Linked DNA regions of Drosophila melanogaster. The protein of the gene in region 2 interacts with the protein of the main gene of each other region in a pairwise test. Each region holds a gene or a part of one and is shown on either strand. Other genes may lie near its edges.

Evidence for each region.
Region 1: the proteins of CG17162 (region 2) and CG34198 interact in a two-hybrid assay, tested with the Drosophila melanogaster proteins (one large-scale study listed by BioGRID).
Region 3: the proteins of CG17162 (region 2) and CG43069 interact in a two-hybrid assay, tested with the Drosophila melanogaster proteins (one large-scale study listed by BioGRID).
Region 4: the proteins of CG17162 (region 2) and tinc interact in a two-hybrid assay, tested with the Drosophila melanogaster proteins (one large-scale study listed by BioGRID).

The regions. Positions count from the first base shown.
Region 1 is NT_033778.4:19,680,751-19,685,483, forward strand, and holds CG34198 (uncharacterized protein), read right to left. Parts: upstream 2,228-4,733; 5' UTR 2,150-2,227; coding exon 1,970-2,149; 3' UTR 1,696-1,969; downstream 1-1,695. Other genes in the region: CG15127 (uncharacterized protein), read right to left, coding at 269-526.
Region 2 is NC_004354.4:23,092,780-23,099,734, forward strand, and holds the start of CG17162 (uncharacterized protein), read right to left. Parts: upstream 3,956-6,955; 5' UTR 3,654-3,955; intron 831-3,653; exon of another isoform or gene 1-830. Other genes in the region: su(f) (suppressor of forked), read left to right, coding at 4,917-4,952, 5,014-5,336, 5,501-5,776, 5,835-6,234, 6,439-6,630, 6,696-6,955.
Region 3 is NT_033778.4:18,859,677-18,864,540, forward strand, and holds CG43069 (uncharacterized protein), read left to right. Parts: upstream 1-3,185; 5' UTR 3,186-3,209; coding exon 3,210-3,449; 3' UTR 3,450-3,601; downstream 3,602-4,864. Other genes in the region: Jheh3 (juvenile hormone epoxide hydrolase 3), read right to left, coding at 716-1,516, 1,585-1,789, 1,850-2,250; CG43070 (uncharacterized protein), read left to right, coding at 4,316-4,418, 4,467-4,612, 4,667-4,748, 4,808-4,857.
Region 4 is NT_033777.3:17,808,860-17,815,630, forward strand, and holds the start of tinc (tincar), read left to right. Parts: upstream 1-2,681; 5' UTR 2,682-2,945; intron 2,946-4,671; exon of another isoform or gene 4,672-4,758; intron 4,759-6,771. Other genes in the region: Odj (oddjob), read right to left, coding at 1-87, 142-258; Alg1 (ALG1, chitobiosyldiphosphodolichol beta-mannosyltransferase), read right to left, coding at 721-940, 999-1,559, 1,621-2,180. UniProt on the Drosophila melanogaster protein: Involved in eye morphogenesis. May be essential for the normal differentiation of ommatidial cells.

The DNA.
Region 1 (4,733 bases), on a different chromosome or scaffold from region 2:
TGTTGTTAAGGGAATGTGAAATTGAAATAAAACATTTATTGTTAACAAAAGCACTTTGTATTACCATATCAAAATAAGGTTCAGCACTTAAAACCAACTTGTTCGACTTTCCATTAATGCATCGTATATTAAATTGATATGCTTTTAAAACTTTGCTTTGAATGCAAACTTTGAATCATCACTCCGATTAGTCATCCTTAGTTTCAGTCTATATATTTAGCGTTTAGTTTACATAGTTCTTATAGCAATCATTTGACAACAACACAATCTACATGATGACACACAGGCCACACTCCTCCATGACACAACAGGCTCCTAGCAGCATGCAGCACTCGGCGTCACTGGGTCCTTGGGGGGGTCCTGGCTGATTGTAGCTGGGTTGCTCCACCACAACCACCGGCTGGTTGTAAACGGGCGAGGGCATTATCACCTCTACGGGGGGCGGGGGTCCAATAACATTCACCACCTCCACGGGCGGCTGATAGTAGGGATCGATCACGTCCACCTGGTAGCCTGCGTTGTACATTCTCCTTGTTTTACTTTTTTACTAATTTAATGACGGAAACTCCTAGTTGATAACTAGTAACTGGCCTAAACTGCTCGACTAAGTGAGCCCCGTTCGGTAACACGCCTTTAACTGAAACATCGAACACAAATGGTTGGCGGTTTGGTGGAAATATCTTACTCATTATTATCTAAAGCCGGTAGGCATTTGATCAATGCCCTGCCCTGATTACGAATTTGTGTACACGCAAATAACATAGAAAAACTACAGGTACAGTGGAACACATTTGAATATTCATTGGAAAACACACCCAATTTTTTTTAAAAACGTCGCTCAGATAAATATTCTAAATATTATGTGTAGATAAACATTGGCTCAAACTTACCAAATTTGTACCCCATTATTAATTTCTTTCAAGCTAAATAAATAAATATATAATGTAAAAAATCAATAAAAAAAATATCAATCGTAACTAACAATAACCAATGCAGCAAATTGACTATTTTGGATTTTAAAAATTCGTTCAAGCGATTTACACCACTTGCTGTTTCTAAACTTGGCCCCAACCGCTTTCTAAAAAAGGCAGTACTGGTATTTCCATTTTTATTAAGATTACATGTTAGCCCAAGTATCTCAAGTATTTTATATTAAACTTGGAAAACAGGTTAAAAGTGTTAAATTTTCCTACTCTGTTAAACTATGGGATTTTTTCAGCCTGTTCACTTCGATATCAATACCACGGTTTTCCGTCTGAATTATCACAGTGCGTATGAGTAATAAGGTTTGGGCTTTAGATAAACGTTTGGCAAAGAAGCATTGCGAGTCAGAAATTATGTTAAATGAGCAGACTACTAACTTTGGAAAAAGGCACTCGCATTCGTTGTCCGACTCCCGCCCACATAATGTCCCACTTTGGGGACCCTCGTCAAAATATTTGGGGCGAGAGCTCCGACGCTGCGGTTGCAATTCAAGAGCCAAGAGTCATAAAATCCTTTATCAAATGAGAGCAGCATGGGCCTGGAACCGGAGTTGGCAGCACTCTTGACACATTTTCCGCTTTTATTGGCAAATTGAGAAACATATAAATAATAACTCGGAATGTGAACTAACTTTGAAATGATGTGGTGAGCATTTCCAGCAGCCAAAAAGGATTGTCCCCCTGCTCGCGCATCATAAAACTACAAATTTTTGTGGGATGTTATTAAATTTGGCTTTTTATTATATTGTGGTACTTTCGCATTGGGATTTATGTAAGACAATATGTTACCAAGCGTGTTCCCTTCGCCACAAAAAAAATGGCAACCACAGTGTGAGCCCTACACAGAGTTATTTATAACGAATCGTAAAATTTTATTGCACGAAAAAACTGTGTGAATTGTTTGCGGCCTCCATAGACATAGAAAGTTAATTTAACGTAACGAATTAGGGGTTCTGAGGTCCTTTGCCTGCGGGCACCTTCGTCTTTCACATGATGGTGCAGCAGCAACAGCATTCGCCACACTGACAGCAACAGGGGCAGCAAGGACAACAACAGCAACTGTTATCCTTGGGAGGAGGCGGCGGCGGAGGAGGTTGCACGATCACCGTGGTCGAGGGTTGGGGTGGCACTTGCACCACCTCCACAACGCGAGTTCTGTGGTCCATTTCGATTGGTTGTAATCCGGTTGTTTTCAATTATAAAATGTACTTGTTGCACCGCACGCGTTTAGTTCGGCACTGGTCATATTGTTGGGATTGTGCTATTATAGCCGCGCTCTCGGCAATCTCTGCTATGGGTGTTATCTATAGATAAAAGCAACTGGAACTCTTATCAGTGGCCAGCGATTTGTGTGAAGTACCTAGCGATTCGTTGGGGTCCCACCTTGGTTGTCTAACCAGCTTTATGATAGAAAACTACAAAATCGATAGGTTATTTATTACATGATTTTATTTATGAATTCGCTGCATTCAAGCGTTGTTGTTCAAATAAACAAAGGCCTTTCTTGTAACTTACAAGTTATGCAAAATCTGATAATATACTGATAATTTTTATCGGGTTTGCTGTATACTGTATTATCTGATGTTTATTTTTCTTGCAATTCAACAAACAACGTCATCATCATTTTCCAAGCCCTAAGATGTCTATATATTTGGTTATATTTTTATATTTTTTATCTTATACTCTATTCTTTGTTATTTACTTTTACTTGGAGTCAGATTAGCACTTTAATTAAACTCGTGTTCGGCACTCTCATTCCCCTATGACTTTATCAAATGAATGACTCACATTACACAAACTATCGGGGGAAACTTGAAACACACAAATGTCGCATAATGCCAAATGGGGCAGCTAATTATATATGCCACCTTATCTGAGCACTCAAAACTATATCCGACGACGCATTTTGCATTCAAAACCAACCATTCGAGTGGCCCCATCAGCATCAGCGGCCACATCAATTTCGGGCGAATAGTTCCTCGTTGCTATCAAATAGCGGAGATCTCAATTAAAATTTTCACCCAACACCGCAGATGGGGTATGTGTAAGGTGGTTGGTTGGCTTTTAGAGCGGCGTTACCTTGCTGAAATTAATAAAAATATATATTTTTGAGCGCCCTTCGTGCAATGGCGATGATAATTAGTGTACGTGATTCTATTTACTTCGACTGGGTCCCCAAACCTCGATGGATCCCCGTAGCATCCCCAGTTGGGAAAGGGGTTGGTTGGTTGGCTGGTCGGTTGGTCGGAGGGTCCTTTAAGGCAAGGGAATGTCCCTGTGTGTTTGGAGGGTGTAATATGATATGCGCGTAAAAAATATAGTACGTGTGTGCGTGACAATGGCAACAACGTGCGGCAGATCCCTAAAAAAGGAACGGATGGGGAACATCGGTTTTGGGGGACCGGCGACGAATGCCGGGTGTCAAAAATGAAACTACGCCTGCTCGGAATTTTAAAATAAGCAAATGAGTTTTAGCTTGATGAAAGCCAGCAACAACAGTAAGCAACAGCAGCACCCCATAAATATTTATAAACTTTCCCCTGTCATATAAATACAGGGTCATTAGTTGGCTTGCGCACCTTACGCCGGAGGTTCCATTCCCTCCTCGAGGATAATAAAAACGAACTAGGCGGCAATTTAAATTCCTCTACTAATAGAGTCGTTACTTTCCTCCGACTCCAAGAACATAACTAAAGGGTTAATGGGGTTCACGCAGATTTATTATTGGGAGGGTTGTTTAAAACCGGAAAGGGGAAGTGGGAGCACTGTTGTTTTAACCAGTGTAAAGCAACAGTTAAGAACTGCAGTAAAGGCAAAGAATCCATTAAAAATATTACAAATCAGGCAAATAAGTTTCCTTATTACAAGCCATGAAAATATTTCAATTAGAACAAATTTAAATCCACTGTTCGGGTTTATAAATAGAGTATACGCAGTGTTGTCCAAATGCAACAATGGTAGGTTGAACTTTGGTCAGAACCAAGCCTATTGGCACTGTTTCTGTATAGACACATATAATATATATAAAAATGATAAAGCAAAATGGCGAAAAGTGGCAGTAAAAAATAAAATGCGCTGCCGCAAAAGTGCCATTTGTGGCATAAACACATGCGCGCCAAAAACTTTGATAAGACAAAAGCCGAGCCGAGGCTACCAAACCAGGTAGGCAATAGCTGGCAGGTGGGTAGGCGTGCCATGTGGGTGGTTGTTAAAAAAGTGGCAAGCGGCAGGATGAAGGCCAAAAACTTTGCCAAGTACGGCGGCGGCGGGAGAGCCAGAGTGGAAATGTCGCAAGAATGAACTTCGTCGTTGGATCCTGCGACCGCAGTGTGCCACTAAATGCTGCCACTAAATGTGTGCCAAGTATTATTGCAGGTGCCACCAGGTGCCTATCTACACACACACACACACACACGCGTGTGTGTGTGCCAGTTCTCTGCCGAAATTGCCCAAGGAGCACGAGGAGCAAAAGGAGCTGCTTCTTGAGGTGTTCGCCGCGCCAGCGGGACTGGCATAAAATTAGCACAATAAAAACACATAAATGCGGCACAAAAACATGAAAATCCACTTGTTATAATTTAATCGAGTTGATAGAATTTTTACGACTCTTCTCCAGGTATATGTACAATATATAAGTTAGTGTGTGTTTCTCTCAGAGCCTTTGCTTAAAATGTGGGACAAAGTAAAAGTTTTAATCACACGTCGCCATTTTATTGCTGGTCATGAAGATAGCAAATGCATTACGAACTT
Region 2 (6,955 bases):
TGTTTGACATCGGATTGGAGTTGAAAAAGTAACGAAAGGCTGAATTGTTGGGTTGCTAAACTGTATCTATTAATACCCTCAAAAAAATCATTTAAATATGTATAACCACTAAAATAATTTTGGTACACAAAAAATTGTGTTCGATTATAAATAAAAAACTTCATTTTAATCATATCATTAATAATAATGAATTTTGCAGTAAACAAAGTAGACTCTTTAGTACGGTTCCCCCCGAATGACCCGACTGAAAAAAACGATAATCACTAAATTACTGCTCCGTGAAAAAAAATTCAGGGTAGACAAATTAAATTGAAAAGATCCCGACGAACACAGCCAACTATATCTACTCTCACATTTAGTGCCCTCTTTTACTTCCACACCCACACCCAACAATCCAAACACACTTAGGCTTAGTGGGCGTGGTCCACCCTTGATAGAAAAATTACTAACGTTCATGTCGTTAACCATTGTAACTGCAAACACCAACTTTTGCATACACCAACACCTCTTTTACAAGCCAATTTTGTCCAATTTGGACATCTCGACTCACGATAAACAAGACAGAATAAACGAGACAGAACGAACTATGTCAAAAATCGTTAGTAGAGTTGTTGGATAGGTCCAGAGTTATACAATCTAGGAGCAAGAACTCGCAAGCCGTCGAAAGACACTATCTAACGATGTCCCAGGGATTATTTTAAAAAAATGCACCACATAATTATAAAGAAAATTCGTATCATAACCGGTTATACAAGATGGCTGAAAAGTAGCTTGAACGAATCGGTTTTTGGCCCGATAAACTAACAAACAAAAACAAGTTGAGTTAACCGACGGTAACAGGAAAAAATCAGAACAAATTTCTGATGACGATTATCATTATAATTTCCATAAAATGAGTTATAAACAATAGAGAATGCGATAGTCGAGTTCCCCAGCTATCGTTACTCAGGTGGAACGACATATTTCAATATGTCTTTTAGAATATCGGCAGAAATTGGAAACCAAAATAATAAAATGGAAACTAATTTAAAAATTATTCCAATGTAGGCGTGACAGTTTTGGGTGGTTTGTGGGCGGTAGAGTGTGCGTGCCAAAATTTTTTTTTGCGAATTGGTAGATATGTACAAGACTTATAAAACCATGAAACAAATTTTTTTAGTTTTGGGCGGTTTGTGGGCGTTAGAGTGGTAATGGTTAATCTCAACATTCTAGCTTTTATAGTTCCTGAAACTGAAGCTATAAACGCTTTATTCTACCTGTTACATACTTTCCAACGAATCAACTATACCCTTTTACTCTACAAGTATTTTTTATCTTTGTATTTTGTATTTCGATGTCGTAGAATTCAGAAATTTTTTGTATGCTCTTTTAATGCGGTATACATATACATATATATGTACAATATTCCTGATTAGGATCACTAGCCGAATTGATATGGTAAAGTCTGTCTGTCCGTAAGGGGGCTGTCACCTCGAAAACTTTAAAAGCTTTGAAGTTAAGATAATGTATGCATTTCTTTCCTTTTTTCTGATTTTCGAAACGTAACGTTTTAAACGTTTTAATCATTCGTTAATCAAACAGCAATTCATATAACAGAACGTTATATGAATTTTTGTTAAGTGTTCTAAATATTTTGGTAACACAGACAGGACGAAATGAATTTTCTATCTATTAAATAAATTGATATTTAAAGAAAGCAAATTAATTTAGAAATATATTGACAATTTCCAACTAATTTATCTCTGTTATGGAAAATTAGTTTAGGAAAAAAGTTAAAATAACAAAAGGAACCGCTATAGATTTTCTCCACTAGCGCCACTCAACTAAGGGGAGAACGAGGGAGAAACTTTGAAACTTGATTGTCATATCCATAAAATTGTTTAGAATAACAAGAGAGAATGCTATAGTCGAGTTGCCTGAATATCAGATACCCGTTAACCCAGATATTTTTCTGCGATACCAAAAGATGTTGGGGAATAAAATGAGAAAAAATTTCAACAATTTTCAAAAGTGGGGCGTGACCGGTTTGTCGGCTTAAGGGCGTCACAGTGGGTGTGGCAAACAGTTTTTTTTTGCACATCGATCGGAATTTACAAGACTAATAAAGATGTGAAAAAATATCAATATATTTTTCAAAAGAGTGCTTGTGGCATTTTTTCGTGGGCTTGTGGGCGTTGCAACATGGATCAACAAACTTGCGCTGCGTCTTTGTCTCTAGAATCTGCATGCTAAATCTCCGCCTTCCAGCTTTTATAGTTCCTGAGATCTCGACGTTCATACGGACAGACGGACATGGCTATATCGACTCGGCTATTGATCCGTTATACAGTCGGAAACGCTTCCTTCTGCGTGTTACATTCCTTTAAACGAATCTACGTTACTCTACGAGTAACGGGTATAATAACCAAATAAAAAAGTCTAAACATATTTAAAAAATTTGGTTGGCGTTCGAATGAGATGGTGGAGGTATTTTGGCAAAGCGATACAAAGTAGCAAAAAATCAAAAAATGCAATGAAAAATAATTATAACATTTCACAAAAGTGTGGGTGTGAACCTTTTGGGCGGTTTGCCGTCGTTAGGGTGTGCGAATATTTCAAAACTTGCCCACGTACCACTATGTGAAATTTTACCACTTTTTCTGCCCAAAATGAATAACTCCAGGACGTTGAAAGATATTCAGATTGGGTTACAATATATCCGTTCTGAAACCGCCCCTTATATTTGTTGTAGTTTGTAACTCTAGAACGGATAAAGATATTTAAATTTTTTTGCCATTATCTTTTATGATACCAAAAATTGTGGCCGTGGCACCGCCTCTTATATTTAATTAACTAATTTTGTATAGGTATTTCCCTAATTTCGTATGCTTTTTCTAGTCCAAGCAAAGAACAACTGATTTCGTGGTAGTGGTTGCATATTGAATTATTTTACAAAAAAGTAAACACAAACATAATAACAAATTAATGAATCAATTCACCAACAGGCATTTTTAACTCCCTTTTAGCTAAAATTACTCTGCATTTGAACAAGTAGGGTAAGGACCTAAAAACTATAATTTCTCCGAAAATCGCAAAGAATGCACTTTTTAATTACAACTATCTAAACAAGAATTAAATAAGCTACAAAATAAGGTATATTTCATGAATGAGTTTTGTTGCATTCGCTTTAAATCCCTTTTGAAAGTTAAGTTTTTATAACAAAAATATTTTAGTAAGACAACATACATTTTTACGGTATAAAGTCCCCTTAATACACGATTTTTTGATAGTTTTGATAGTCAAAAACACATAATACAAACCACATTGAATAAAACTAATTTTGCAGAATGAAAAAACGCTATGGCTCAAAAGATATATAAATATTTGTATCAAGGGAAAAACTTATCGTTGCAGACAAAATTTTTTTTGTGCTTGCAACACAGCTTAGAGAATGATTTCTTTGTTTATTTATTTCTGGTATGCAGGAATAAACATTGGCCAATATAACAGAGACAAAGCTAATGCATATGTGAGGGATACACACACACAGTGTTTGTTCTACTTTGAAACACAAAACCGCGTCAGTGTGACACACTTATTGCGCCTTAGCACACACACCCACAGAGGTATTAGGTAAGGGAGAGTGACCCAGGAACGGTAATAATTTCACTAACTTGTCGAAGTCTATAAACCGTAAATATACCGCTAGGACATCAACAACAGCTGTTGGCCTCTAGGTCTGCAATGATTGTGATGCTCTCCGGAAACACGCACATGTGTGTGTGTCTTGTCTACCTTGGCAGTTTAATAAATCGGTTTCAATGAATGATACTAATACTAGTTGCGAATTTAACTCGAATTATCTCTCGGCTAATAAATGCGCTTGGTTTCGTTTGATTGCCACTCCTGATTGTTTAGCGTTTGTTTTAAAACTTTTTTGACACTTACCCAATGTGACCGCATACTGGTACTGAATTAATATCGATAAATATACCAATCTATTTCTAGGGTTAGATTCTGGGTATTCCTTAAACTGTTAAATTGTGGGAATGTTGAACCCTCAACATGAAAAAGAAACAACAAAAGAAAAAATTAAATTTCAATAAAACATTTCTCTGTAAGTAAATTCTTAAAACAATTTAACACTACAGTTGCTGAAGAAAGGTGCGTTTCACTTTCTATTTCTTATAGCAAAAAATAAGTTCCGTTAACCTTGTTGAATTTTGTTATCACTTGGACTCGTGTCTAAAACATTTAAGAACAATCCATTGACTTAAATTATAATGTTTTCGTGTGTTTTCATAGTTATGTTTGTTCGAATACCACAATACCAAGAATACCTTTACCTCATATTATGTTATATTGTTTTAATGTATAATGTTATAGGGTAATCAGGAAAAATTCGTACCTAGTTACGCTACTAGGCATACAATTCCAGGCTTCCTAAAAATGCCTTTTTATTAAATATTACCTCTTTTACTTACTATTACATAGAACTTAAACGGTTCAAAGTATCTGTTAACAACCTTCACCTTAGCAACGTACAGAAAAATGTTTCAGTGGAAACAAGCTATAAAAAATATTGCTTCTGCTTGAATTCATTATTTACAGATTTAGTACCTTTAAAGTATGTTAAAACCATATATCTTTTTTATTTATAGTTTATAATCAGTGACCGCTGTACTACACATCCCAAATCTTGGGATTTTAATGGTAAGGCCCGCGATGTGATTGGCGATGACACTATCGCAGTTACATCCAATCAGTCGTCGATATCTAAGCAGCCGCATTGCAACTTCTAAAAGAATTCGGAAAAGCGGCATCCAAGCGTTGCTTTAGGTAATTGCGTAGCGAAAGTTCAACGGAAGAAAGGAACTTTCCCGGGCCAAGGAGCAGCGCAAGCAGGACTCAACGACAATTTGCAAAGACTATTAGCAATGTCTTCGGCCAGAGACCTTATCAAAGTCGACATAGTAAGTAAAACATTGGCTTTATTTGGATGGTAACAACATATTTTTACTTATCGATGACAAGGAATGGGGCATGGAGCGCCTGGTGCGAGCTCAGCAAGTGGTGGAGCTGCGGCCCTATGACATCGAGTCCTGGAGTGTCATGATCCGAGAGGCCCAAACGCGGCCAATCCACGAAGTACGCAGTCTTTACGAGTCGCTAGTTAATGTGTTTCCGACAACCGCTCGGTACTGGAAGCTATACATTGAGATGGAGATGCGCAGCCGGTACTATGAACGCGTGGAGAAACTTTTTCAACGCTGCCTAGTCAAGATTTTGAACATCGACCTCTGGAAGCTCTATCTTACCTACGTGAAGGAAACCAAGTCGGGTCTAAGTACTCACAAGTAACTGTTATACCTTATTTAAATAATTCACATAATTTGACATCTTAGAAACTATTATAATTTTAGTCAAAACTTGCAATGCAGCGAGCATATTGTTTTTTTTGATGCACAACATTTGTGTTATTCTGACACGCTTATTTTATTGGACTTATCTCTTTTCTCAGAGAAAAAATGGCCCAGGCTTATGATTTTGCACTGGAGAAAATCGGCATGGATCTACACTCGTTCAGCATCTGGCAGGATTACATATACTTTCTGCGGGGCGTTGAAGCAGTGGGCAACTATGCAGAGAACCAAAAGATCACAGCAGTGCGCCGCGTCTATCAAAAGGCTGTAGTCACACCTATCGTGGGCATCGAGCAGTTGTGGAAGGACTATATCGCATTCGAGCAAAACATAAACCCGATTATATCAGAGAAGATGAGTCTGGAGCGATCTAAGTGAGTGTTATACGCAGAGTTTGCTAAATGTTCTTTCTAAATTCCAACTTAAAACCAGGGATTACATGAACGCTCGTCGTGTTGCCAAAGAGTTGGAATACCACACAAAGGGTCTCAATCGCAATCTGCCAGCCGTCCCACCCACACTCACAAAAGAGGAGGTGAAGCAAGTGGAGCTGTGGAAGCGCTTTATCACGTATGAGAAGTCTAATCCCTTGCGCACTGAAGATACGGCCCTAGTAACCCGTCGTGTCATGTTCGCCACGGAGCAATGTTTGCTGGTGCTCACCCACCACCCGGCAGTGTGGCACCAGGCCTCCCAATTCCTGGACACCAGTGCTCGCGTGCTCACCGAAAAAGGCGTGCGTACTAGTGTTGAAAACATTTCACCTATTCTCTGCGTTCCTGTAGTGAATCAAATAGAGTGGGTTATGGCCTTTGCTTGGTGGTGGGCAAAGGTCAAAACCAAAAACGAATCAAATATAGTCTCTTGTTTGCTAAGAAGTGTCGCCCCTCGGGTAAAGGAGCACGCAGTGGCACAACACAGATGGCTTTCCGTGGCTTGCCCCGTTGCCCCTGGCCAGGCCGCACGCGTTTTACTCTTATAACTAAGTCGAACTTTTGTGTATTTACATGTTTAATTACTTATTAAAACATTGCAGGACGTCCAGGCGGCCAAGATTTTTGCGGACGAGTGTGCTAATATACTGGAACGGTCTATAAACGGCGTGCTAAACCGAAATGCGTTGCTATATTTTGCCTATGCGGACTTTGAAGAAGGACGGCTCAAGTACGAGAAGGTGCACACTATGTACAACAAGCTGTTACAGTTGCCAGACATTGATCCCACATTGGTAGGAACACACATATTGAATATGTTTCATCAAATATTTGATACCATCGAAATTTAATACTCCAGGTCTATGTTCAGTACATGAAGTTCGCCCGTCGTGCTGAGGGGATCAAGTCGGCCCGTAGCATATTTAAGAAAGCTCGGGAGGACGTAAGGTCGCGCTATCACATTTTCGTGGCCGCTGCTTTAATGGAGTATTATTGCTCCAAGGACAAAGAAATTGCGTTCCGCATCTTCGAGCTGGGATTGAAGCGTTTTGGTGGCAGTCCAGAGTACGTGATGTGCTACATTGACTACCTGTCCCATCTAAACGAGGACAATAATAC
Region 3 (4,864 bases), on a different chromosome or scaffold from region 2:
CTAATTTTTATTCAATAATTTAAATGTATTTAAGCAAACAAACCGGCACTTGTCACTCTAAACCAATCACTGAAGAAGAAATTGCGTTGTGAAAATAATTGTGATGCGACGAAACCGTGTGCAAATACTTCTGACAACTGATAAAGATCTCTTCATTTGCCTCTTCCTTGCGCATAGGAACAGTTATTTTTTCAATTCTTCTTTCATCTGACTCTGCATAGGTTTGAATTTGCAAAAGCAAAAGTTTTTTTGCATTTCACCTCCCCCCACTTGCTGCACAAGCAACTGTTTGTGACCCATGCACAAAAATGCACTTTGTGAAAATAATTTTGACCATGACTGTATATATATAAATATACATATATACATATATATAAATAAAGAATCAATAATATTTTTTTAGTTTGCGGTCAATTACAAACATGGATTACAAGCAATTACTTCTTAACCATACCTACTATTTATAGTTATTAGTTTTATTGTAATGTAATTAAAAAAGATTTTGTCTTACCCCCTTCTATTTCCCTTCCACATTTGTTAAATATTATGTAACCACGTTATGGTGGTACTGAGGTGGTCCCAACCACCTTACTGCAAAACCGTACTTAAAATACGTTGACCTTTTGTCGCCTTGCCAATTTAATAGCTATCTCATGTGCCTCCCGATTCCCAAGCGAAAGTACAAAATCCGTTTGGTAATTATACTTAAAACAATTTATTTTCTCTTCTCGCCGTGTAGGCCAATTTTTCCCACAAAGGCGGTAAAATCATTGAACAACATGGCCGGCATCTCCAGGGCGGCAAAGTGGCTGCCCTGCTGGAAGTACATCGAGTGGGTCAGGTTGGGGAACTTGTCCCTCAGCTGCCAGTCAGTCACCGAGGCCAGATCGAACCGGAAGCGGGCACAGCCCATGGGAACCGGGGACTGCACACGATCCAGCTGGAGATCCCTGTACGTCTTGGACACGTTCTCCAGGTAGAAACGAGCCGCTGTCGTGGCCGAGTTCGTCAGATAGTAGACCATCAGGTTGTCCAGCACAGCCTCCAGGCCGAAGACAGTGACTATGGCGCCAAAGTCCTGCTTCAGGCCGGGATTTGTGCAGGTCTGGAATTTCTCGAGGATATAGGAGGCCAAGCCGACGGGACTGGAGGTCAGAGCCGCTCCAATCGTATCCGGCTTGGTGGCCTGGATGTGAAAGTAACCGCTTTCCTCCAGCAGCTCCAGCCATTTTTCCCACACGGGGAAGTGATGATCCACAAAGAATCTGGACGGCAAGTACTTCTCCGGGAAGAAGCTGCCGTAGATTCCCTTCAGAATGGCCAGTGGCGTGTGCAGAACGCACATGTTCGAGTGGTAACCGATTACGTTCTCTGGATACAAGGTGGCCAAGTTGCTGCCAATGATGCTGCCCCAATCTCCGCCTTGGATGAAGAACTTCTTGTGGCCCAGACGCAGCATCAGGTTACGCATCACAGTGGCCATTTCAGCGGCATTAAATCCGGGACGCGTGGCAGCCTTAAGTTATAATAATAATAATAATAATTAAAATGAAGAAATTCAACTGAAAAACAAATAACACTCACATCGGACCATCCGTAGCCCACCAGGGATGGTGCCACGACCTCAAAAGCGTAATCCGTGATGTTTGAGTGCTTGGTTAGCATGGGTATAAAGTCGAAGAACTCGCGCACCGATCCTGGCCAGCCGTGGAGCAGGAGCAGAGGATATACGTGTTTCTTTTCCTTAGCCTCCTCGGATACCTTTTCGTGGATATAGTGAATATTCAAGCTGCGGAGGTATTACGTTTTTAGCATGGCATCCATGTTATACAAAAGCACTCGTACCCACCCCTGAATTTCGGTCTTGTACTGCTTGAACGAGTTGAACAGCTCCTGGCGCTCATCCCACTTGGTCAGGTAATTGTCCCGCCAGTAGTCCACAAACTGCTCCAGTGCATAGGTGTTGAATCCGTATTCAAAGGCGATTCCGTCCAGCGGTTCGGTTAGTCTCAGCGTGCGGTTGAGTTCCTTTCGCAGATCATCGATCTCCGATTGCGGCACCTGCAGCTTAAACTCGTAGATCTTTTCGTCGGGCACAAAGTCCTTGGCATCGCCGGGACCCCAGTACGTATCATCCTTGAACTCCGGCTTGGGCAGGGGCTTGGTCAGTTCCGTGAATACCACGTAGCCATAGCCCACGAAGGCACCAAACAGGGCCACAATCAGACCAAACACTATCAGGCACTTCATTCTGGCCACAGGCGCAATTAGCTCCCCCTCGTTATGAATTTAAATTAGCCACCTCGTACACCTCCCAGAAGAGATAATGGTTTGTGATTCCTAACCCGAATTCGGAATAAACACGACCGTGCAACCAGAAAGCCGCTTAAGAACTGACTGCCGGCGCATATACTCATTCCCCGAATTGTCTCGCAAAGCTCTATCGAAATTCGCTGTCGCCGTTATAGTATATGTTCGTATAATATTTATAAATTCGTTTAGATAGCGCTGGCTATCGTGCACAGTGGTTCACAATATGATCTGTCAAATTGATCTTTGCTTGATCTTGGTTATAATGGTCTGCTCGCAGCTCAAAGGTTAATGGGCTTGGGAAATTAAGTATAAAGTATAAATATATTTAAATGTGGTTAAAGCTTTGCACTTTATAATGAAATTTTTGTACTTTATAATACTTTTATACTTTTTGTACTTTTGTACTTATAATATATAATTAGATAGTTAGATAGCTTGCCTATCTAAGGGTATTTAGGAATACCAATTCCCTAACCAAAGGGTATTTAGGAAGTATATATATTTTTTTTCATTATTTTCTATTTCCAGCATTTTATAATAGACTTAGCCCCAAGGTGCATTGCGGTTAGTCTGCCTGGTACTGTGTTACTTGCCCGCGTCTGCACCTTGAATAGCCCATTGATTTCCGAGCGAGATAGGGTGACCCATACGTGTGTACCATATGAGACAAGTGCGATGGTGACTTGAGAATAGTCCCAGCTACTTATTCGCCACCACTATCTTATCGAACTTATTTATTGGTAAGCGCTACGCCGGCAACTGATCATAAATCTCAGCCCTTCTGCCACTGATGATGTGGCTCCAAAAAATGAATGAAATGAAGTCGGCCGATCAGAAGGCCACGTGGCACCTATCACTATCTAAATACACTCCTAGTAATTCTAATGTAAAATAGAATGGCCAATCAAAGCAAAACCATTTGGCTTCTATCCTCAAATCTACCTAAACTGCGGTGCCATGTGAGAACGGATCAACCTTTGGCCGCACTTCTTAGGCAAAAATATGCCCAGGCATTTGGAGTTGCTACTGAGTCTCTGATCCTGGCCTTCGATGGTGAGAAAATCCAGGAGGAGGACACATTTGACTCCTTGGCCATGGAGGATAATGACATCGTCGATGTTGTAGAAGAATGTTAGTGCTCGAAGACCATGAAGCCAAGTTAATAGAGGCAGTGAACTGCGAGAGGTTAGCAGGCGACATTGTACACTGAAAATATTAGATAAAAATTGTAAAATAGAAACCCATCGCAAATATATGCATAGACTTGGTAATATTTTGTCTAAATTTTACACATTTCTATTTCTGGGTGCATAAAAGGTAGGGGATAATTCGCATAAATTGTAAGGGCACCAATAATGCTGTCGACATGCAACTATATCGAAGGACTCAAGGGGCAAGGAGACTCGATAAAAAAAACCACAAAAGTGCCGCCAAACATGCAAGACAGCCAAATGGGGGCGTGGTTGGTTCGCCGTGGCAGAAACAATGATGGGAAACGTAATTCGAGCGAAATTAACGCAATTACCGTGCCGCAGTCAAAGGACTCAAATTCACTACCTTTCGATGCACTGCAGTTGAAAAACATACAAAAATAAGACTAAAGTTTGTTCGCGTGCCGCAAAAACAATCGCATTGATACTTGGAAGCGTGTCAAAGCTGCCACCTTCCGGGGAAATGGAGAGGTTCCTATTGCGGACCCGAATCGCGGACCATTAATGCCGGCTCCGCCGGGCTAATTCACATTTTATTGAGTGCTCCAGTTACGGCCAAAGTTTGGCACCAACGCCGCTGCCATTGGCAACCGCCTCGCCCTCGAAGAGGGGGCGTGGCCTTAATGGTCGCAATTAGTTTTTCATCCAGCTGACACGCACTTGTCGTAAAAGTCCATTGAACCTGACGCTAAATTGATTTCCATTGGGGCGGGCCTGGAAAAGTTATTCAGCATATTTTACCTACTAAAAAAAAAAAATACATTTTTTATGAACAAAAACGCAGGTACACTATGCCAGATCGATCAAATCAACGTTGGTTTGTCATCGCAACTCTGGCTTCGTGGAACTTAATGAGTGGTTTCGGTTTCTACGCCTACATTCTGGATTGCTATGGTCAGTTAGTACACGTTTTGCCAGCTAATGTTTATATTTTTCCCTCAGTAAATTATCCATTTGATCACCAGAGACGTCAGTTCAAATATCACACTTTTGCCGGAACTATTGACAAAGATGTTGTTATGGGAATCACTGTCGTAATGCTATGTCAGATAGTATCTTCGATTCTACTATGCTTTGCATTAGATGAGGTGAAGTTTAAGAATATAAAATCCTGGCGGTATATTAATTAGTTTTCATTTTAGAAGAAAAGAACATGTCTTATTTACGGAATTTTCATTAGCCTAACTTTTCCGTGTGTCTGTCTCCCAGTTTGGCCATTAGCTGGTAAGTTTTTAGAATTTTCAAAAATCTTTTTCGAGGCATCTAATAGTGTGTTTCAACAGTAACACATGTCAGTCTTGTTTTGGTAGTGCTGAGTTATTACTTTGAGTAGTTTAGAA
Region 4 (6,771 bases), on a different chromosome or scaffold from region 2:
GCATCGCTGCCTGAAGGCTACGGCTTGGGTCAGGTCCAGGAGACAACAAGCGCATATGTGCTGGGGCAGCATATTCTCTAAAACGATCTGGAAATGCATAGATTATGAATAATTCCGGACAACAAATAAAAGGGACGCCACCTCTAAGCCCGTGATTTGCTCGATGGCCATCCGAATGCGATGATTGCGCTTCTCGAAGATGTTCTTTGGGTGCGGCGTGAAGATGCGCTCGCCGCAGATCCGACACTCGGTGCTCATTCTTTCGAAACTAAATAAAATTGATTAATTTTAATTACAAATTATAGTAATTTTTGCGCAGCCGGTTTGGTTTTGAAGTGTGACCGTTGTCCGCAACTAGAGGTGTCAAACATTGATGTTTTTAAAATTTTCCGATATATCGATGTTTATTTCAGACTATCGATATTGGTGTTCAAATAAAAAAAAATCGGCACTGCATCCCGTGAATTTTCTTTTTTAATTGAAATACATAATACTCCTAAGAAAACACGCTTTACAAGCGAATAAATAGTTGTATATATCTCCTTTTTTTAGCAATTTATTTTTATCTTTAGGCTACGATTATAAAAATAAAATAAGCATCATAAGCAAGTTTGAAGCTCTTTTGTGTACAGAATTTGTAGTAACTAGCCTAGAAAAAGCGATTAGCAATCAAAGGAAGTCTCTCATAACGTGTAATTGTCAAATCTTTGTCAAAATGCTCTATAGAAATGCCTCCAGTACGGGGGCCGCGATCAGGCGCCAACTCTCCCGCCATCGCAGCTCCTGGAACTCCTGGATTTTGCGCTGAAAACCAGCTCTTGTCTCCAGGATGCTGGGATTCTTTGGAAAATTTTCGAACCAAATCCTCAGCTGCTCGGCCAGCTGAACATGGTCGCCAAACACGAAGCCATTCTCGCCGTGCTTCACCAGCTCATCCAGGCTAAAGAGCCATTTGTAGAAGTTAGTAAGTAATAATAGTAAATGGCAGGATTAGTTACCACTTGAAATCGTAGGCGCAGACAGGCAGCCCGCTGCCGAACATGTCGACCACCTTCATGGGCAGGTCGAGCCCACTGGTGCTCCAGTGCAGACACACGCCCAGGTCGGCGCTGGCCAGAACAGTGGGGTAGTCCTCGATCTCTAGCCAGGGCGTGATCACCGACACCTTCTGCCATTGCAGCTTCTCGATCTCCGCCACATAGTGCTCCTTTTGTGGCCCCTTTCCGGTGATGATACACAGCAGGGAAGGATAAACCAACGGCTCTGCTTGCGCAGTCTCCTCGTAAGCTTGCAAAGCCTTAAGCAGTATACCGAAGTCCTCGTCCGGCGTCCAACTGGTGCTGGAAACCAGCACGGCTTGTCGCTGTGGTCTGTACTGCACAACACCGCTGGCCAGCTTTTGGGTAAGAGCGGTGGCCTCCAGAACATCGGATTGTTCGGCGTCCTTGGCCTGGAACTGTGGGTAGTCTTTGGCCAGCTTCAGGTACAGCTCGTGCTTGTGAGTCAAGTCGATGGGATGGAATTGCGCGGGCGCACGATCATACAGAACTTTGACAGGCCTGAAAGATGAGTCGCGGCTGAGTTATTTACTTCGTTTAGATGGATGTGATGAGGACTTACCCAATGCCCCAGTTTTGCTGCAGATCCTCTTGCATGGCCCGCGTCACACAGAAGTGTGTGTGTGCCTTGGAGCCGAAGTATCGCTCCAGTCGCCTAACCAATCGTATTAGAGGACTCTGCTCTCCCTTCGACATTCCCAATGCCAGCACTGTGTACGTGTAGTTGTGCCAATCGATGGCCAGCTTGGTTCGTGTGACCGCACAGTACAGATAGCACACAATCAGCGTGGGAATGCCGGGCGGATTCTGGACGAGTAGGAAGCTGGGACGGCCAATGGAGATGAGAGCCATCAGCAGACTGAGCGTCTGCCAAAAGGCCTTGAAGAGCAGGCGCAGTTTGGGTGTTAGGTTCGTCACTGGGACGGCAGTTAGCTCGTGGATTCGGCAACGTGGATGTTGAGTCAGTTCCTCCAGCGGCCTCGTCTCCAGATACCCAATCATGTCCACGTGGTAGTTCTCCTCGAGAAGACTCTGGGCATGGTACTGCATGCGCGGACTGCGTCCAATGTCGCCCAGCACGATGACGCAGGCGTTGCGCTTCTTGGGCAGCACTTCCGCCATCGCTGGGCAAGAAAAATAAGCGCTTTATCTGCGATCAAAGGGAATTGCGCGTTTTGTTTGTGATTCGGTTGAATCCTGTGGAATAGTGGGACCGTACTCAGCCGCTGCAAAATGCCTCGGAACTCTGCTATTATGGCGCTATGTTAGGGTGGTTCATTTCAACATTTATTTACTACCTGTTTTAAAAATTTGGGTATTTTATCATTTTATCCATCTATTCTATTTCATTTAATTTTTTAAGATGAGTAATCAGAATTCTTAGATTTATATGAGCGAATATATATACTGTTTAGATTTCAAAGTATGAAGTGATAAAATAGCATAATTTTAAGCTACATTTTTTCTCTAACATTGCATTTACATTTCTTAACAGTACTGTAAAATAAAATGAGTGCGGTTAACAGGGAAATAACTTAACAGTTGCCGAGTGACCGTACCTGCTTTGCGTATGTATGATCTTAATTGCAGTAAACGTGACTGGTCACACCACACCGCTCAAACTGAATTCTCCATTCAAATTCGGATTCGTATGGACGTAACGTCGCGGCTCGTGAGTGCGGCACTTTTCTAGCGGGACTTCAAGCTCAGTGTGTGTGTGTGCGCGACAGTGCGTCGGTGTGTGTGAGTGTTTACCCACAAAGCTGTGCTACAATTTTCGCAGCAACTAATGCTCAGGTAGAGGAAATATTATTAAATATACTAGTTGGTGATGAAAAACAAATAATTGAAACAAAGTTTATGACTGCTTAAACGGGAGAATTGCCGGTGAGTAAAATCAGGAAAAGCACTCCAACTGCCGTTATTTTACGCATTTTCGCCGGCACAACAAGCCGGCTTTCCACCCTCCAGTTGGCGCCTGTCTGGATGTCAATGTGTGGGTGGCTCTATCGTTGTCCGCGTGTGTGTGTATCTGTGTCTGTGTGTGGGGGTATTTCGAGCCATCGAATTTCGATGAAGTGGAAATGCAAATTTCGTACACCACATACTACAATTTCCCGAGCTCCTGCTGGCTTTGTTCTCCATTTATGCATTTTTATGCGCGTAGTATTTTTCCTCTCTAGTGCCATCGTCAAATTTGTCACCCGGCTGTCTGAGATTATAACTAGGTGTACAGATGCGGTAGAAATATTAATATCGTTTACAGATTTTTATACGCGTATGAATAAGCAATAAAGAGGATACTATAACCTTTAAGGCCATCAAATATCCTTAAAGATATTATTTGCAAATGTCAAAGGAATGTCAAAGATACTATTATTGTATGTAATTGCTCTTAAAGATCACAAAGACTGAAGTATGATAATCTTAACAGCTACTTTTAATATTAAGAATTTCCCATTAAGGAAGTAAACAATTATAGAAATTTACTTATTTGACTTATAGCTATCAAACAAATATGCCGATCCAGATTTATTGCTTTTGAATATGATTTTCCGCATGATATAGATATTGTATTATTCTGAACCCAGCTGTGAGTGTGCTCCACGTAGTTTATCCCATTATGCTCGTCTGCAATTTCTGATCCAGACGCGATACGCTCCGCGCATCGTCCTTCTGCTCCTGCGTCCTACGTCCTTCGCAGAAGGCAGATAGCCAAGCCAGCGGGCCACCCCCAAACGGTGGGCGGTGAACGCGGGGTGGTGGTTGCACTGCTGCTCGGATGGTTGGGTGGTTTTTGGTGGGTGGCTGTATTTTCCTGGGGTTGGCCCGCAAGTTTCCACTCTTGATTTTTGATTTCAGTCCGACTTTTTATGGCGCTGCAGAAGTTTTCGCTCTGCCGTTGCCCTTTTGCGCTCTTTTTCATTCTCTTTCCGTATGGCAGCATTTGGCATAGAAAACTTATCCTCGGTCTAGACACGGAATGAAAAGGACATTTTTCTTAACCAGGTTTATGCGGTGGCAATATTGCAAAAATCATATCTCAGGATAATTCATATATTTGCCCTAAAGCTATTATTTGTAACGATAAATGGACTGATTGTACTCAATAATCTGTTTGGTCTTATGAGAAAATTTAACAATAATACTTTTATTGTTTATTATCAATAATATCAATATAATATTATATTATAATCAATAATATCTATATCAATAATATATGTTATACATATACATCTTTTAACATCGATAAGCGCACTTTTTGCATAATACTACTAATTCACCTTTACCTTTATGGTAAGTTTATTACCAGCTAGAATAATTGTTGGAATGACTGAAATCAAGGAATGTTGGTAATTCTAAGAAACAATCCATTTTTGCTCACATTTCACAACATATCTATTTCCATGTACCATGCCAAATCTAATCGTATAAACCTGCTTTCATTTTAGTTGCATTTGTCTTTATTTCTGTGCGTGTTTGCTGTCTGCGACATTTTCTGCTTTTGCTTCAGCAGGATTAGCATTAATTTCATGTTGAATTTATGTCACTGAAAATTTATTTCGCCAAAAAAAAAAAACTAAAATCTATCCGGAAAATTGCTCTCTTGCAGCTGCACCGGCAAAACATATCAAAGAAGGGATTATTTTGGACTGAAAAATTCACTTTAAAGGCGCTCAAGAGCAAAAACCCGTGACAGGTAAGCTTTTGTAGGCAGTGCGTGTGTGGATTTTGTATGGAATGGGATGTGGGTGATGTGGTTGGATGGATCGATGGGTGGATGGATGGTGGGGTGATTCAGGGAGCTGAAGCAGTCAACCTGAATAGTCGATTATCGCTGCATCTAATTTGTATGCCAAAGTCGTCGAGCTATGTGTATGGGCCCGCATGCAGACCGCTCCAAAGGCGGCGCGAGCTATTTGAATAATTCGCATCATGGACTCTCGGTAGTCGTGGGGTATTTGGTCTCTGTCTCCAAATGGGGCAGATATTCCAGGCGGGCAGGGACGTGGCATGAAAGTCAGGGCATCTAAAGAGACGGCGCCGCATGCAGGCAGCTGCATGAGCTTGTTAAATGCCAGCAGACAATGCCAAATATCCTAAACAAACTTCCGCTTCGCAGACAGCGTCGACTTCTCGACGCAGAGGTGGCTATAATTAAAAGCGGTGCGAGCGAGAGGCCACCACGTGCCGCATGGCAGTGGGAGAGAGCGCGCGATAGCGTGGCAAGTGCAACGCATCCAGGCCCCTTTTTCTATTTTCGCTGGTGCCTCGCTTGCTTGGTTTACAGCCAAGCACTGCAAAGTGAGGAATTCTTAGATTTCATTTGAAATAATTAGATAATCATGCTTTCCAGTCAATAAATCAAGATATTGACCAGTTAGTATGTTAAGCTGTATGTATACGTTTTAAATCTGAGGATATGCATCTAAACTGATTCCTCCCCTAGGCAAGATCATAAAATGATTTATTTTTGTAATTAATCAGTGTCATTATGGAGAAATTATTTCATTAAACAAATCTTTTTCGAAGAGTAGAAATATATATATTTTTTAATTACTGCCCATTAATTTCTCTCAGCGTATCGCAAGATATGTACCACAATATCAAGTGCCTTTGACATTTTCCAAATAACAATCGACAACTGTTCGCTCGTGGAAAGCGGGGAAAATAGCTGCGGAAGTGCTTTCCCTCACTCTTCATTTCCCTCTCTCCAATTCTCGCGCTGCACTTCAATTTGTGATAGTTGTTGCCGTGGAGCTGGGGGGGATTGGGATTTCAAGGAGGAGGAGGAGGAGGACGAGCTCGAGGGCAATTGAGTTCAGTCGCCACACGTGACAAACATGTGGAACAACTCAGGTTGAGATAGTGGACTCGGAGGCATCAAAAGGCAAATTATGCGGACCAATTCAGGTAGCAGAAACGGTGGAGAAAGATACAAGATATGTAGAACAGTTTCTTCGGGTCAATGACTAGAGTCTCTTTCCATTGCTAAACGCAATTTCACTTGTATAGGGCTTTTCAAATTAGTTTTTAAGGCTTGCGTTTTATTTCCAGTTTTAATACAGGTATAATGTTGCTAAACTCCACAATTAGAAACATCATTCTAAAAGCAAAACATAAAGTATGCTTACTGACTAGATAATAATATTGTTTACATTTCTTTTTGTGTTTGATGCTTGTTCTTTACGGCCAATTACACTAAAACGAGCTTTTTTTGCATTAACCACAATCAGCAAACAAGTTTTTGTTCATAAATGGTCATATAACATTTAAATCGTTTTCAAATTTCCAATATTAGAAGTGCATAGAGGTCATTGAAAACTGGTATCCGAAAGATTCAATTGACGAGTGTTCCACTGCGAGGTGCTAGAGAATCCGTTAAACTGTCGGATGCAAAACTCTCGGCAAAGATGCAAGTTTGCCAGCGGGTCATTCAAGTGGACGCCCGTATCCCCGCACGTGGACACTTCAATGACTGACTGACTGAATGACTGGCAACTTGAATGCCTGACTGACCGAATAAATGACTAGCGGACTAACTGACTGACTAACTGACTGACTGACGGGGCACGCAACAATTGTGGCAGCAACAGAAACGACTCGATGGAGAAAGGCGAGAAGGAAAGAAGGAAGTGATCAAGTTTTTCCTTCCCAGGTTCTGCCTTCCAAATTTATGCAGTCCCTCCAAATGGACGAGGAGGAGAAGCAG